2 linked regions of the Caenorhabditis elegans genome follow. The protein of the gene in region 2 interacts with the protein of the main gene of each other region in a pairwise test. Each region holds a gene or a part of one and is shown on either strand. Other genes may lie near its edges.

What was found.
Region 1: the proteins of unc-116 (region 2) and add-1 interact in a two-hybrid assay, tested with the Caenorhabditis elegans proteins (one large-scale study listed by BioGRID).

The regions. Positions count from the first base shown.
Region 1 is NC_003284.9:4,853,936-4,862,059, reverse strand, and holds add-1 (Adducin-related protein 1), read left to right. Parts: upstream 1-2,016; 5' UTR 2,017-2,023; coding exon 2,024-2,122; intron 2,123-2,358; coding exon 2,359-2,451; intron 2,452-2,524; coding exon 2,525-2,633; intron 2,634-2,955; coding exon 2,956-3,098; intron 3,099-3,217; exon of another isoform or gene 3,218-3,367; intron 3,368-3,493; coding exon 3,494-3,637; intron 3,638-3,685; coding exon 3,686-3,853; intron 3,854-4,199; coding exon 4,200-4,259; intron 4,260-4,316; coding exon 4,317-4,415; intron 4,416-4,719; coding exon 4,720-4,804; intron 4,805-4,859; coding exon 4,860-4,945; intron 4,946-5,006; coding exon 5,007-5,279; intron 5,280-5,823; coding exon 5,824-6,036; intron 6,037-6,085; coding exon 6,086-6,344; intron 6,345-6,638; coding exon 6,639-6,740; intron 6,741-6,848; coding exon 6,849-6,908; intron 6,909-7,004; coding exon 7,005-7,094; coding exon of another isoform or gene 7,095-7,168; intron 7,169-7,186; coding exon 7,187-7,230; intron 7,231-7,585; coding exon 7,586-7,657; and 4 more. UniProt on the Caenorhabditis elegans protein: Membrane-cytoskeleton-associated protein that promotes the assembly of the spectrin-actin network. Plays a role in time-dependent memmory loss and the retention of conditioned behavior over time.
Region 2 is NC_003281.10:8,350,497-8,357,179, forward strand, and holds unc-116 (Kinesin heavy chain), read right to left. Parts: upstream 4,679-6,683; 5' UTR 4,600-4,678; coding exon 4,561-4,599; intron 4,514-4,560; coding exon 4,418-4,513; intron 4,245-4,417; coding exon 4,083-4,244; intron 3,850-4,082; coding exon 3,552-3,849; intron 3,504-3,551; coding exon 3,274-3,503; intron 3,227-3,273; coding exon 1,901-3,226; intron 1,851-1,900; coding exon 1,559-1,850; intron 1,316-1,558; coding exon 1,311-1,315; 3' UTR 668-1,310; downstream 1-667. Other genes in the region: R05D3.6 (Putative ATP synthase subunit epsilon, mitochondrial), read right to left, coding at 1-6, 229-309; Putative RNA-binding protein R05D3.8, read right to left, coding at 6,491-6,670. UniProt on the Caenorhabditis elegans protein: Microtubule-dependent motor protein required for organelle transport. Plays a role in endosome transport. Required for the transport of mitochondria along the axon of motor neurons. Involved in the nuclear migration of hyp7 hypodermal precursor cells.

The sequences.
Region 1 (8,124 bases), on a different chromosome or scaffold from region 2:
CGAGTTTATCGATTCTTTTTCTCAGCGTTCTCTGACTTCCTATTTGATTATTTGGTTTTCCACGCAAAACTGAATTCAAAAATCATATCACTGTTGTTGAGCTTTTGTTTTGAATAGCAAACAGTTTAGCTTTCGAAATTCGGTGTTTTCAATGAACCGTAAGGCGTGTTTCGTCTTTTCTCCAAGCCAAAAGATACACAACAAATGAACACTGCCTTTTTGAGTCTCCAGAAACCGATAGACAACCTTGATTTGAATAAAGATTCTGTTTCGCTCAATTGACAGCAGCGATCTTTTTTCAATTCTTTCGTTTTTCTCACTTTCTATTTACTTCCCTAACTTTTCTCAATAAAAGTCTCCAAGAAGGGTAATTGATTCAAGGTGAGGAAAAAGGGCGAGAGATACATGTTTTGTTTTCCTGTTTTCTCCACTTGTTCTTTTTATCAGATCTATTTAATCAAAAAGGTTAAAACAAATAGTTTGTTTTACTATCGTCACCATAGGTGTGTGTGCGTGTGTGTTTGATATAAGATTTAATCGCAATTCGGCATGTTTCTTCTATTGTTGCCGCATTGGTTAAACACCAGTTTGGGGTTTTTTTGGAAGAGTATTTCAAGTTTCTGAAAGTTAAAGCATTTCAAATTTCAGACTAAGAATTTTACAGTAAGTGGTATTATAAATAATTGCATTGACCGCAAATTATTGAAAAAGCTTAGAATTTTTAAATAGAAATATTGTTTCAGCATTTCGTAGTAGTGCTGCAATATTATCTTATCGGAATAATTAATCTGAAAAGTTCAAACCGATTTTTAAATTTTGACAAATTTATTTTGAGTTATAAAACTCTGTTTGCGGAAAAATGGTTACTTTCCCAAAAAGTAATGAAATCTCACAAAACTAATTGGCCTAGCTCAATTCGAAAATTTCCACTTCCATTTTGCTTCACCGTTCTTTTTCATTTGAGCCACCCTACTTGTGCACCACTCGGACAAGTGCATTCTATTTATTCCATTTTCTTTTCATTGTGATTAACCATCCTGAATAAAATGTCTTGGGTTTTCTGCTCGGCGCCTCTTTCTATCTTTCTCCAAAATAGAGTACATGTAGACTTGAGTTTCTTTTCGGTCTTCCTTTTCTTCCCTCATTCCTTAAATTAGATTTGACATAAGAAGAACTTTATCGCAACAGGCGGATACCTTAAGGTTCTCATTCTTGTTTGCCGTTTATCGCTTCCATCGCAGACAAAAGTAGTGTGTTGGAGAATTTGACTGACGCAAAAACCACAAACATTTTAGGGTCAAATTCACATTTCCAATTAATATTTTTCAATATTACCGTTTGCCATGCTTCATAGGTAATTAGATGTATACACTTTCTCATGGCAAGTGTGCCACCCGTAGAGCAAATGTTATATAACGCAGGAGGTATGCAATAACCAAATTTTGTATACAAATCAGATGGCTCGCCATCGAATAGTCTCACGCTGAATGAACTATTTTTCGATCAATTCATGCTTTTTAGTACAGCTTTGTGTAAGCTGTGTGCTAGTAGAAATGTCAAATTATTTTCATGAAATTGTATACATCCGATTTAGCATATCTTAAAAAATCCTTATTTGTAAATACAGTTTCCGATAACTTGTGAACCCTTTTTTACTTAATTTGATATTTCAATCTTTAGTAAGTTCAACTGTTAACACCTTTATAACAGTTTTTCATCTTGAAAAAATGTCTAAAAATTTGACAAACAGAAATTTAACGTTAAAAGACCAATAATGAAACAGGAAAACAAGACAATATCAAAAGTAGGCCATCCATTTGCGCGGGAATTTAAACATAATTCAGAAAATCATCGCACATTTAGAATAATTTTATTATTTTTATTTTTAAATTCATATTTGTACACTACATCCCATTTTCATATTTGCAAAGTAATGTTTACTTTTCTAAACTTTGTGATTTTTTCTTGAATTTCAATATTTCAATCTCATTTTCAATTTTCTTAAACTTCAATAAAGTTTCAGATGATTGGAAGAAAAGAGAAGGAACGGGAACGTCCATACTATCGAGACCCAGATGACCCTGAATATATCAAAGATTTGCAAAGACCGGCAGTAATCAAAGTAAGTGCTGCTCCAAGTTTTTCCGTAAAAAAAACTAGAGCACATCAAGTTTTCCCTCCTCAGCTCTCTTTTTTCTCTTTTTCCAAGAACTTCAATTAATGAAACCTGCCATTATTAGCGCAGTGTCATTTTTTGAAAAGACTTGGGAAATTGAATGGAAAATGCAAGAGAAGAAGAGAAAGGAGTGCTCGCTCTTTAATCAGCTTAAAAGATGGATGAGAAATGCTCTATTTTAGGAGGATTTGTCAGAGATGGAGAGACGGAAAAGAGTGCAACAGATACTTGAATCAAAATCATTCTGCCACGAGCTAGAAGAAGTTATTCGTCAGGTTTGTAATTTGTCTTTTTTCTCGTTATTTTGTTTCAATAAATGTAATTTTGTACAAAACATTTTACATCTAGGAGTGTGATACAGCACGTACGGATCCGGATCACTTGCAAGTACTCCAGAAACTTTCGGACCTCACAGTTCCACAAGGAAACATGTCGTTTGGCAACCTTCACACATATGGTTTGTATTATATTTTGGAATAATGTATTCGAAAAACGGATAACTTGGTTTTTTTTCCTTATTTTGACAAAAGAAACTCGATTTATGCTTATTCACACGAGGAGTTACAACATGTTATAATGCAGAAAACTTTCCTATACGAATTTTAGCTATGCTGAAACCTTGTGACACAAAAGTAGATATACTTTTTTTGTTTTTCTAGTAAAGTATTATAATATCAAAAATCTAAGATTCCCATGCATAAACAAAATTGCAATATTTTTACAAACTTGAACTTCTGTAAGTTGACAATTTCCGATAAATCATGTAATCTATGTTTCAGGTGGAAACACCATTGCAATTGCTGATCTTCGTGGAAACGAGAAGTATTCAAAAGCGGAACGTATCCAGAGAAACAAATTGGCATGCTTGTTTCGACTAGCTGACCTGTTCCAGTGGTCACAAGGGATTCATAACGAAATCTCGGTAGGGTGCTTGAAGTATTGACTTTTTAAAATTACCACAAAAATTTAAAACTTGAACCTGTGGTTTAAAGTAAAATTTTGCAATCAACCAAATTTATTTTACAATATAGCAAATACAACGCGTGTAGAAATTGTATGAATTTCAACTTTATTAAAATACGAAACTTCTGAAACAGCTGCCAAAATGTAAGGATTAATCAGCTTTAAATTGGGATTTTTTTTGTTCAGTGTTGTGTTCCGGTTACACACCACTTTATTTTCCGACGTGAGTTAACTAGCAGGTCCATTAACGACGTGTTTAAAAAAATGTATTAAAATTATATTTCTATGAAACTTCTACAAAAGTAAAAACACCATATTTACCTTTCTAGAAGAATTTTAACAAAATTGATTTAGTATCGAACCAACGATGAGGATAACACTTTTCTGATGAATCCATTTGGTCTTCTCTACCATGAAATCACTGCTGCGACCATCGTGAAGATAGATGAAAATGGAAAAATTCTGGATTGCGGGACACTGAAAGCTGGAGTCAACCAGGTACCTTTAAAATCAAAAACGACTTATTTTTGCACTCATCAAGTTAAGCCTGCGTTTCTTCTTCATTCTGCAATTTACAAAGCTCACCCAATGGTCAGATGCATTCTTCATATGCACACGGCAATTGTGGCGGCTGTGGCTAGTATGAAATGTGGTTTATTGCCTCTATGTAAGGAAGCAATGGTGCTTGGGCCAGTTGGATATCACGATTATCAGGTTAGCAAAAATATTGAATTTGAAGAAAAACAATCACTTGTGTGGTTATTTTCATAATCTGAAAAATTTAAGTGTGAACGAGAGAAAATTGAAAATCTGAAGGTTAAAGAAACTAGAAGCAAAATCGGCAACCGTTTTTTAAAATTATTTTTTGATGATTTTTTTCCAGTCAAAGTTTTGGTACTTTGCCAAAATTTGAAAAAGTTTATCATGTAAATCGGTAGTTTTAGTACTTAAAGTAGATATAGAAAAGTTCATCGTCGACCTTCGAACGGTTTAAATTTTCATTAACCTTTCACATGACTTTAACTATAAAATCAAAAAAATTGTTGAATTTTCTTTTCAGGACATTGGTGATGATGATATTCAATTTGACGAAATTATTGCAAATCTTGGAGACAAAAACGTGCGTTAGCTTTACTTTGAACTGCTTTTCTATCCGCTTTTCTATGCTTCGTTTCAGGTCCTTTTCCTCCGCAATCAAGGATTCCTTGTTGTCGGTGACACTATCGAGCATGCCACTTTTCTAGCCAACAACACTGTGATAGCATGCGAAACTCAGGTTTTTGAAGTTTCTCATATTTAAAAATTACACGCTGCCCTGCCGCCAGTAGTTCAATTCTATCGCCAAATGCTTATTTTTTATGAAATGACGATGGGATTAAAACATTTAAGGTTCTGCTGATCAGAGGAGAAGGATGTTTTGTTGTTGGAAATTCCGTTGAAGAGACATCTATAATTATGCGCAACTTAGTCACTGCTTGTGACCATCAGGTTTAGAAAAGTTATAATAAATGAGAAATATTATTTCATATCAAATACAAAATACATAATCAAAGTTTCCAAAAACAAAATATTTTTGTAAGGTACGTGCCGCAAGGGCTGGACTTGACAACCTCATCATTCCGGAAGAGAAAGCAATACAAAGAGCGTTCAGAAATTCTCGAAATAGTAAGATTCTGCAATATATATTGAAATTTAAAATACATCTATAATGCTTTTGTAGCGAATTCCCTGAAACGAAATGGAACAGTTGATTGGAGAGTCGGAGAATTAGAATGGGAGTCTTGGATGAGAGTGTTGGATCATGCGGTGAGCAGAATTTTTTCGCCCTGCTCACAGTTGTTTCACTAAAAATTGCTACTAATTATAGAATTTTCAAACCGGGCACGTCTATCGTCAACCACAACTGCGGCCCAAATCTGCAATGTCTACGTCAATGGTGAACAACAATGATGTTGCTGTTCCGCCAACTACATCAGCTTATGGACAAATTGATGAAACAAACTTGGAAAGTGTATCTGCACATCGTCTGGCTTTACTGCGCAAGGAGCAGGAGCGGGTTCGTTGGATGAACAGTCCAAATGCATATCAGAAGGTTGAATTTTTGGAGTATGGAGCAGATAACCCAAAGAAGATAACTAAAGTAAGAACTGTTTTCAACTTTTGCAGTACGAAAATAAAATTTGTACATGAACTTCTGATGGTTTGTGTCATTATGTTTACACAGTTATTTTCATATAAATGTACAAAAAAATTTGAAGAAACATTAAATTAAAAACTATAAACAGAGATTTGAAAACCCAAATAGCTATGATATGGGTGGGCCCTACTAGTGAATTTTTGTTTTGGATAATTTCTATGTCACTAATTTTTGGATTGTTGTCATTATGCACATTATGAATACATGTTATGCTAACGCAATAAAAAAATGTATTTTTCAATATTGGAGTAGTGTCAGAAAATGTTCAAAATTGCTCCAATACCAACTATCGATTCAGGCTGTGCCTAATTGTGTTTTGAAAATTTTGATCCGCAATAAAAATATGTATTAAAGTTTTTTGAGAAGTCTCATTATAAAATTCGGTCGCATTTGGTTATTGAGTTCAAATTAAACATCTATGATAAATCATTGGAGAAAAAATTAATTTTAAAGTGTTTTAAATTTACACAAGTTCAAATCATTTCAGTGGGTTCATGACGTCAACGTTCCATCCGCGAGTGGAACCCCTGTCAAAATCAGCAGTGTTCATCAATTCAGTCCTGCGTCTTCAAATCCTAAAGAATTTAAAGAAAAACAAAAAGCTATCAAAGAAAACAACAGACTGGGAACTCTTTCTGCTGGACCACAAAGCCAGATTTTGGACAGTGTGACATATGAAGACATTGCACTATTGATTAAAGTGAAATATCCCGTCTTGAAAATTCATTTATTATTTTGTAATCTTTCAGCCTGATAATGACGGAACAGTCGGACAGAGCTCGACCGCTGACCGAGCAATACTTATCGGAACTGCCAGCAAGGGAATCATTGATAGGCAATTTCAGCATCATGCTCAGGTGTACCACCAAATCTATGCGCCGAATCCATTCTCTGTAGAAACTGATGCAGACATCAAGAAATATGTAGACATGGTGAAGGCCAAGAACTCGCAAAGCGCTCCTGTCTCAGCGAGAAGTGGTTACTCTCAATACGATGAGGTTGAAGCTGGTAAGGTAGCTGAAACAAAAAAACAGCAATTTTTAAAGTCGTTTTTGAAAACGAAAACTGAAATTCCTTTATTTAAAACGTAATAAAATAAAATAAACACTGCAAAAAATCCATGTTGTGTTGCGAGTTTTTAACTGAAAATCTGGGGTTCAAAACACTTGTGGGATGCCACTTGTTTTGAGTATGTTCTTTTTGGCTCCACTTACAAAATATATTTTTGAAAATATATTGCTGACAAAGGTCTAAAAATAGCTTCTCTAGTTGTAACCAGCCGATTTTCAAAAATTATTCCAGATACAGTTTCCTTAATGCAAGGAGTACGAGAACATAAACTTTCTCAAGCGGCTCTGAGCGCATCTGACGACGGCCTGAATGCCGGAATCTCCCCGAATAATGGTAATTTTTATGTGGTTGCTCCTTCACATTTTATCGATGCGCCTGTTTTCTATCGCTTTGTTTTCCAGTGTTTTAAATTATTTGAATGCCTATTTTCCATATTTCCAGTCCGAACTTCCGAAGAAAGCGTCAATACGTCGTACATGAGCCAGTCAGTTGTGTTCGATTGTAGGTTTATTTTCCTTATTCTTTCTGTGTAGCATGTGTGTGGTGGCTTCAAAGCTTTTTATAACTTTCACAGATTTTCTAACTCTTTGTGTACAGGCGATCACCCTTCTCCGATGTCAATTTCGACAGAGTACCCTGAAAAAGTTAAAATGACGCGATTTTCGTCGACTCAAGGAACAAGTGAAGGTATATTTGTAACTACGTGGTGTCTATTTGTGTTTTCACTTTTTTTTCGAGCGCATCAGCTAACTAATCAATAACTGAGTTGTAACATTTAGGCAATACAACGTCTCGATCGTGCACTACAGCGTCTGAAGAAGAAGTAAGAATTTTTGGAAGCAAATAGTTTTTCAAATGTTTCAAACTTAAAAAAGAATGAGGTTTCTTGCCATAAATAACAGAAAAACTATAAAGTAATATATTAAATTTTTAATAATGTTTTTTTTCAAATTAGAAGTTTTTTTTTGATATTTTAACAATTTCTGAAAAATTTTAAAAAAATTCAATGAAAAAATTAAACTTTTTACAGTTGTATTCTCTATATATAAACTGTTTTCTGTTATTTTGGGCAAAACCCCACTGACTCTACTCTACCTTCAAATAAGATTGAAATATTTGCTAACTTCTCTGCTTTTGGGACTAATCAAGCACTTATTTTACACCGTTTTTTATTTCAGAAGCCTACAAAAGATGAGAAAAAGAAGAAAAAGAAAGGATTTTTGTCATTTATGCGAAAAAAGGACAAATGAAAAATGAGAGTTTTGCTCTCACCTTGCTCTCACCAACACGTTCACATCACTTAACTCTAACACTTTTCGATAACTTTTTCTATGTTTTCTTTTCAATTTTCAGATCCGGATATACTACGCCCAATTTACCGTCAAGAAACATATGTCTAGTCTCTGGACTTTTCTTTCTTTCCCGTGAACTTTCAATTCCGGTTATGGATAATAGCAACACTCTGTGCTTTGTCTTTTGTTTTTCGAATATTTTTAAAATGTCATTTTGTACGCATATTTTTTTTATATTATGTATTTGCATTTCCATCAAGTTTTTTATACTTTCATCTATAAATAATTATATTATATTACAAAAAAAAGCCAGGACAGAGAAGAATTCGGCAAAGTGACTACGAAAATAGCTTTTCTCAACGAATTTAGCAGATTAAAAAAGTTATCCAGTTTATTTTTGGTTGTTGCTATAAAACTCAAAGTGC
Region 2 (6,683 bases):
GCCTCCCTGTAATTTTTGATAATTTTTGCGATTTTTCATACTTTGATGTGGGACAAAAATGTGTGAACCTTTAGGAGCCCAGTAATTAATTACCGGTAATTTTCAGAAACATATTACTTAATTGAAACCTATAGGTTATAACTTGAAAAATGATAAACAGAAAATTAACGGAACGGGTTACTGTACCACTTAAAGGGGCATATATTGTTATTTAAGGGTCCAACAAACCTTGGTGCACTGACGAACGACTTGTGCGGCGATTTGTGAATAACGGACGTAGTTGAGTCCAGCAGCTCTCCAGGCGACCATTTTTGATTTTGGGGGAAAGTTATTTAACCTTAATTTATACTATAAAATAATAAAATTTTCAGAAAAAGGAAGTAAATTGAAAGGTATGGAGAACAACCTTTAGACTAGAGAAATCTGTAAAATAAAAAATAAAAACTTTATACAGTCAAAGTTCAACAGGAAACTTGATAATATTCGAAAGTTACTGAATAATAATTAGTTGGTCCAAAATGGAAACAAAACTATCAATAAATATTTAATTACATTAAACTTATTTCTCATAGTTTTCAATGATATTCTCACTCCAGAACACTAATCAGTTAAGCTCATGCGTTTGTTGGTTATTCTTGCTCGTATGTTATTGTAAAATCTTGTTTAAAAAACAGCAAAACGTTTATTTAATAACAGAAAAAATAATAATTTTATTTACTGGAAGAGCAAAAGATACAAAAAAATGAATTACGCAATTGGGATGTGCGGGGATTTGGGGGCCGAATTGTGCAGAAACGAAACAAGTTGATTTCTTATGAAGAATGATAGGGGGATTTAGCAAGCAAGCTTTAAAGACACTCAAACGCATGCAAAAAACAATCATAGGAGTGTTGGTGGGTGACGGGGGGAAGAACCAGACAAAACCTCGTGTCAGATTAGTAAAACTGAAACAGGAAAATCGTATAGAAACAGACTATTAGAACAAAAAGGCGGAAAAAGGCAATTTGGGTGGGGGTGGAGGGAAGCTTTAAATACTTTTAGCTTTTGAAGTTTTGTATTCTACATGGAAGACGAGAAGCCAAGGAACGAAATGGGGAGACACAACCAACCAAATGAAGATATTTTTGTTGAAACTTCCAGAAGCCGCGTAATTGTATAAGTTACTAGATTTTAAAATAAACAGAAAAGCCCATCGAAAGTATATCACAAAGCCGGGAAAAGAAGAGAGATAGAGAAGCATTTGAATGTCAGTCTTCAGTGTATTGATTGGATCAAAGAAGACGATGAGTTGATGTTGTTGTTGGGAGACATTATGCTGAAAAACTTTGATTAGTGAAAAATGGACGGACAAAAGACTGTTAAATTTGATAATACGGTAGGAAGAAAAAGAAACACTCACTCTAATTCTAATTCATAGTATAATTACTTGTGAAAAATTACATGAGCACTAAAGAATTTTTAAAAAAATCTTAAATTTCTGCAATCAACTGTGAAATAGTCATTTTTGATGGTATCTGATTGCGAGATGTTGAAGGTGTAGATGTCTGACTAAACACACCGTTTGAGCCATTTGGAGCTCCTTGTGACATTCCTGCTGACGGAGACGTATACACTTGTCCTGGACGGATTGGCTTCACAATTTGTGGAGCATTCATTCGTCGCATGTTACGTTGTCGAACAGCTTCCTTGATTCGTTCAACTTCTTGTTGATACTTCTTTCGTTCTGCTTGACTACGTTGCTTCGAATCACGAAGAGCAGTTTCTAATATTTTGATGCGATCTTCACGACCACGAAGACGAGCTTCCATCTTTGGCAGTTCAACGCGCAAATCGGCATTGTCGCGAACAAGCTGAAAATTCAAGTTTTAAGATAATCAAAATGAGAATAAAAACGACAAACCTGCTTGTGAACCTTCGTCAACTTGTCCAAATTGTTCTCCAAGAACTGAATTCGTTGCTTTTGAGCTGGTCCACTGAGAGAATCTTCTCCCTCGGTGTCTTGATTGGCTTGGCATCGAGCAACAAGTACTCTCATGAACTCCTTTTTCAAATTCTTCAACGTTGTAAGCTCCATATTGACACGATCTGTTAGTGGCTTGATCTCCTTTGCCGCCTGATCCTTCACCAGCAATTGTTTCATTCTACCCGCGTCTTGACCAGATTCAACACGAGCAACATCAGCTGCAAGTTTCGCTTCAGCATCATGCTCGGCAGCTGTACTGCTCTCTTTCGCAGCAGAGTATTCTGAGAAGAGTTTTGAAACTCCGATTCTGACATGGTTCAGAAGATCGTGATCAGGAAGTTGATCATTTTGAGAGGCAATGTCAGCAATGTTGAATTCACGAATAACATTGTAGATTCCTTCTTTGAAATGACGGATTTTTGGACCACATTCGTCAAGATGAGCATTGAGGAGTGATGTTGCTTGGTTCATTCGATCTTCCAAACTCTGGTTATCTTCTTGAACAACTTCCAACTCTCTCTTCAATTTTTCGCATTCTGCTTGTCGAACATCCAAGTTGACAGCAATCTCTTCCAGAGCTGTCATCATTTCCTTTCCTTCTTGCTGCTTGTCTTCAGCTTCTTTTTGGAATCGGTTGTTCTCTTCACGGATCAGCTCCTCGTTTTCACGCATAGTTCCCAAAGCTTCTTCTTGGAGAAGAACTTGTTGTCTAAGCTTCTCAAGCTCTTGCGAAACTTTTTGAATCTCATCATCTTTCTCGTCGAGTTGCTGATACAGTTTGACACGTTCCTCTTCGTACTTCTTCTTCTCTTCGTCAGTGATCGGGCCAGTTGTAGAAGTTAGCATTGGAGGAGCTGGAGCAATCGAACGTTCCATGAGTGGAGTCGACCCACCAGAAACTTCCGACACAGCCATTTGAGCAGAATCTGATAGATTGACCCATTCAACCTCAGACACTGATTCTCCAGCACGCCAGCGTGAAAGTTCCAAAGCCGCTGCCTGGAGAAGGGCGGCCAATCGAGTATTCTTCTCTTTTTCTTTCTCATATCGCCGTTTCCATTCTTCTGCTGTGAGCTCTTCGTTGATTTGTACAACATTCTTGATAGTCTTCGCACGTGCTCCGAACAAAAGTGTGGATTTAGTTTCAGCTTCGTTGAAATGTGACGGAGAAGCACAAATAATAACTGTAGTACGGGAATTTCCTCCTAGAGATTCTTGAAGAATACGAGTCAGTTTGGAATCACGATATGGAACATGAGATTTCTGAAATAAATATTCGTTTTAAGAAGGTCATAATTTAAACAACTCACAGTTCCTTCAGCCAATGCTGAAATAACTATTCCGAGTGCAGTAAGTGACTTGTTGATGTTTTTGGCTTCTTCTAAAACTGTTCCTTGAGCTCCAGTTTTGCTCACTTTCTCAGAACCAGCCAAATCAACAAGATAAAGCTTTCCGGTGAGCTGTTTCTTTGTTGTCTGATGTTCTTGTTTCACAGTAATCAAGAAGACGGAATGAGATCGAGAAGAATGTTCGTTCATGTCTGAAATTTCGTTCACATGTTAATTTGTTTAATTTTAAGTTTACTCACTCGTAACTGCAACCATTCTGTTGGATTTTCCATCTTCGATTGCCTGAAGAACCTCATCGGGTCCTCCAACAAACCGTTCGGTGGCTCCCTTCACGTATGGCACTCGATTTTTATCTTCATGAATGGACAAATTGACCTTCTCGGGGTCTAATAAATCTCGAATCTTCTCGTTGTAAATTTCATAATAGGACACTTTGATGTGAAATTGAAGATTCTCGTCCATACTATAAATGTGGTTAAAGATGTCAGCAACGATACGTGGAATGATTCCCGACAAGCCATTATCACCGATTACTCCCTGTAAAAAATATGAAAATAATTAAATTATATTGTTAATTTCATCGAGCGCCGAATATTTTAAACGTAAAAATTATCAAAAATCTTTCGGGCATTCGATTTCGGAAATAACTGCTGAAAATTAGTTCTCAAACTTTTCTTTTCATTAATCAGTAAAGATTTGCACTGTTGATATTACAACTTGATTGTCTTTGTCGCATTCTACGTAATTATCAAGGTTTTCATAATTCCTACCTCCATTGTATGTGTTTTTCCGGAAGATGTTTGTCCATATGCAAAAACTGTTCCATTATAACCGGATAATACATCCTGTACGATGTGATAAGCGGCTCCTTTGTACACTTGCTCTTGCGTGGTGTTCGGCTTGAACACTTTATCGAACACGTATACTTTTCCCTGAAAAATTCCAACAAATCAATCGATATATATATATATATTCAACTTTGCACTTTTCGTGTACTTTTCAAACAGATGAATGTGTCATGTGAGAGAATTGACACACCTGCATCCCCCGTGCTTCCCGTCCCTGTTGACATAATTGTTCCCTATGACCCCTTTGTATTACTCACCCCAAGCGATATACTGTCCTCGGAAGGGAATTTGGGCAGGAAACGGTCCGCATTCTTCTCCTCGGTCTTATTGAGCGGCCGAATACGACAAAATACCTGAAAACAATATGAAATTGGAAAATCTAGGCGGGGAAAATTAATACCTGGACACCGCATTCTGCTCCGTCTGTCCGCGGCTCCATTTTCAGAGAATAATGATCACCAGTTGGCGGTTTGTAACGGCGCCTATCGTATTAATTACCCGGCTTCTCCTTACAATGCCTGCAATAAGTATAATCAATATGCTGAGTAGAGAACAAGAAAAGATGACGAGATGCAAGAGAAATAGAGAAAGGAGGAAACGGCAAAACATTGCGAAATTTCGGAATATTTCATCACTCGTCTCGTGCGCGATGCACAGAAGCTGCGAGTTTTGTTTGATTGGGCGGCTTTGACAAAAAATAAACTAAAGGCTCATAGATTATGGATAGACAACGGAATGATAACAAAATAACAAAAACTGCAACGTTTGTACTGAATATTCAAAATTTTCACACAGAAAATAGAGAAATAGAAAAAGACTGGCGTCGATCAAACGTGGCACACACAAATTTCACAAATTTATGCATTTTTGGTTAAATTGTTCGAAAAATGAGTTCGGAAAATGTTTTATAATTGAAATAATAGCTTCAAAACAACAGGAAACTTCTGGAAACAATAAAAGTTTTTCCCGCGCGGAAAAATGTTTTAGTTGGCAATTTGTCGTGAAATCTTGGGTTTTTCGAATTACGTACGTTTGCCTATCGTATTTTCGGTCAGATTAATTTTTAATTTCAGTTTTCTTTTTTTTTTCAGCAATGCTTATTTAATTACTTATTTATATTTGACATTTTATGTATATGCGCGAGAATTAAAAATTAAAAACAACTTGCAAAATCTCGTACATTTTCAAAATTTTATACTATAAAATTAACACCATCCAGCAGTGCTCAGTAAACCCGTTCATAATATACCCAGATTTAAACCAAATTAAAACCGTACAAGCCTATATTGTGAATTTATCTGCACAAATTTGGTTTGGATCTACACAAAATCGATTTGGAAATACACAAACCTACACAAATTCAGTTTACATCTACTCAAACTTGCAATCTATGCAAATTAAGTTTGGATCTAGACAATCTTGGTTTACATCTGCCCAAAATTAGAATTTTTCATAATATAGGCTTGTACGGTTTTAATTTGGTTTAAATCTGGGTATATTCTGAACGGGTTTACTGAGTGACAAGAAAGACAAAGTGAAACTGAAATCGCAAATCCAAAAACTAACATTTCTCCACGATACTTGTCTCTTAACTTTTCGGAATGAATATTAGCTTCAATATTATGCAATAACATATGGATAAATGCGGTTTTAAATAAATTTCATAGATAAATACACAAACTAAACAAGATGAGGATATCCGAGGGCAAATAAGGAGACTCAAACCAAATATGGTCATCAAATTGACAATGAGTAATGGCCAATACGACACGATACGGCAGATGGTGAAGGAAGGCGGGGGAGACCGATTCGGATGCGAAAAAGAACGATAAGAGAGAAAAGACACTGCAGGTGGGAGTATTGTGTTCAGTAGATTTTCGTGGTGGGACCTAGAGGATGGTCGGTGCAAAAGCTTCATTGAAAAAGAGTGAAACGAGAGGAGAGACACACTCACAACATTCATTCGTTTGGCGGGAAAAGAGACGAGGGAAGACTTTAGTATTGGGTGGTAGAAAGAGTTGGAGAAAGAAATTCGAAGGGATACAAGGAATGTATTGGCATCGTGAAGAGACACAGAGATACATCCGTGGTTCCCTGTGTTCTCTTCATTTTGTATAATGTTTTATTCTCGGTCAGAGGGACAACGGACGGCCTCTTCAAACACTCACAGAACATTCGCTCACTGCGCTCACTAGTAGAGAATAAAGGAAGTTACGAGAGAATGAAACTTCGAAGATAAATCAATTTTATTTTTTAAAATCAATGTTCGTAAACTTCGAATTAAGTGAAACCGTAATTTGAGATATATGAGTTTTGTTTGATCATCACAGCTACCATTTTCTCGGTCCATAGCCACATTGAGACAATGGATCTGATTCTGGTGGTTGATGATATAGTGGTGCATATCCTGCTGCTGCAGATGGATCATAGTGATTTGATGAAGCAGATGATGAGGCATGTACAGAAGTTACGGGACGTGACGGCGTTAGATAAGCAGTGTGATTTGGAGGCTGAAAATGTAAT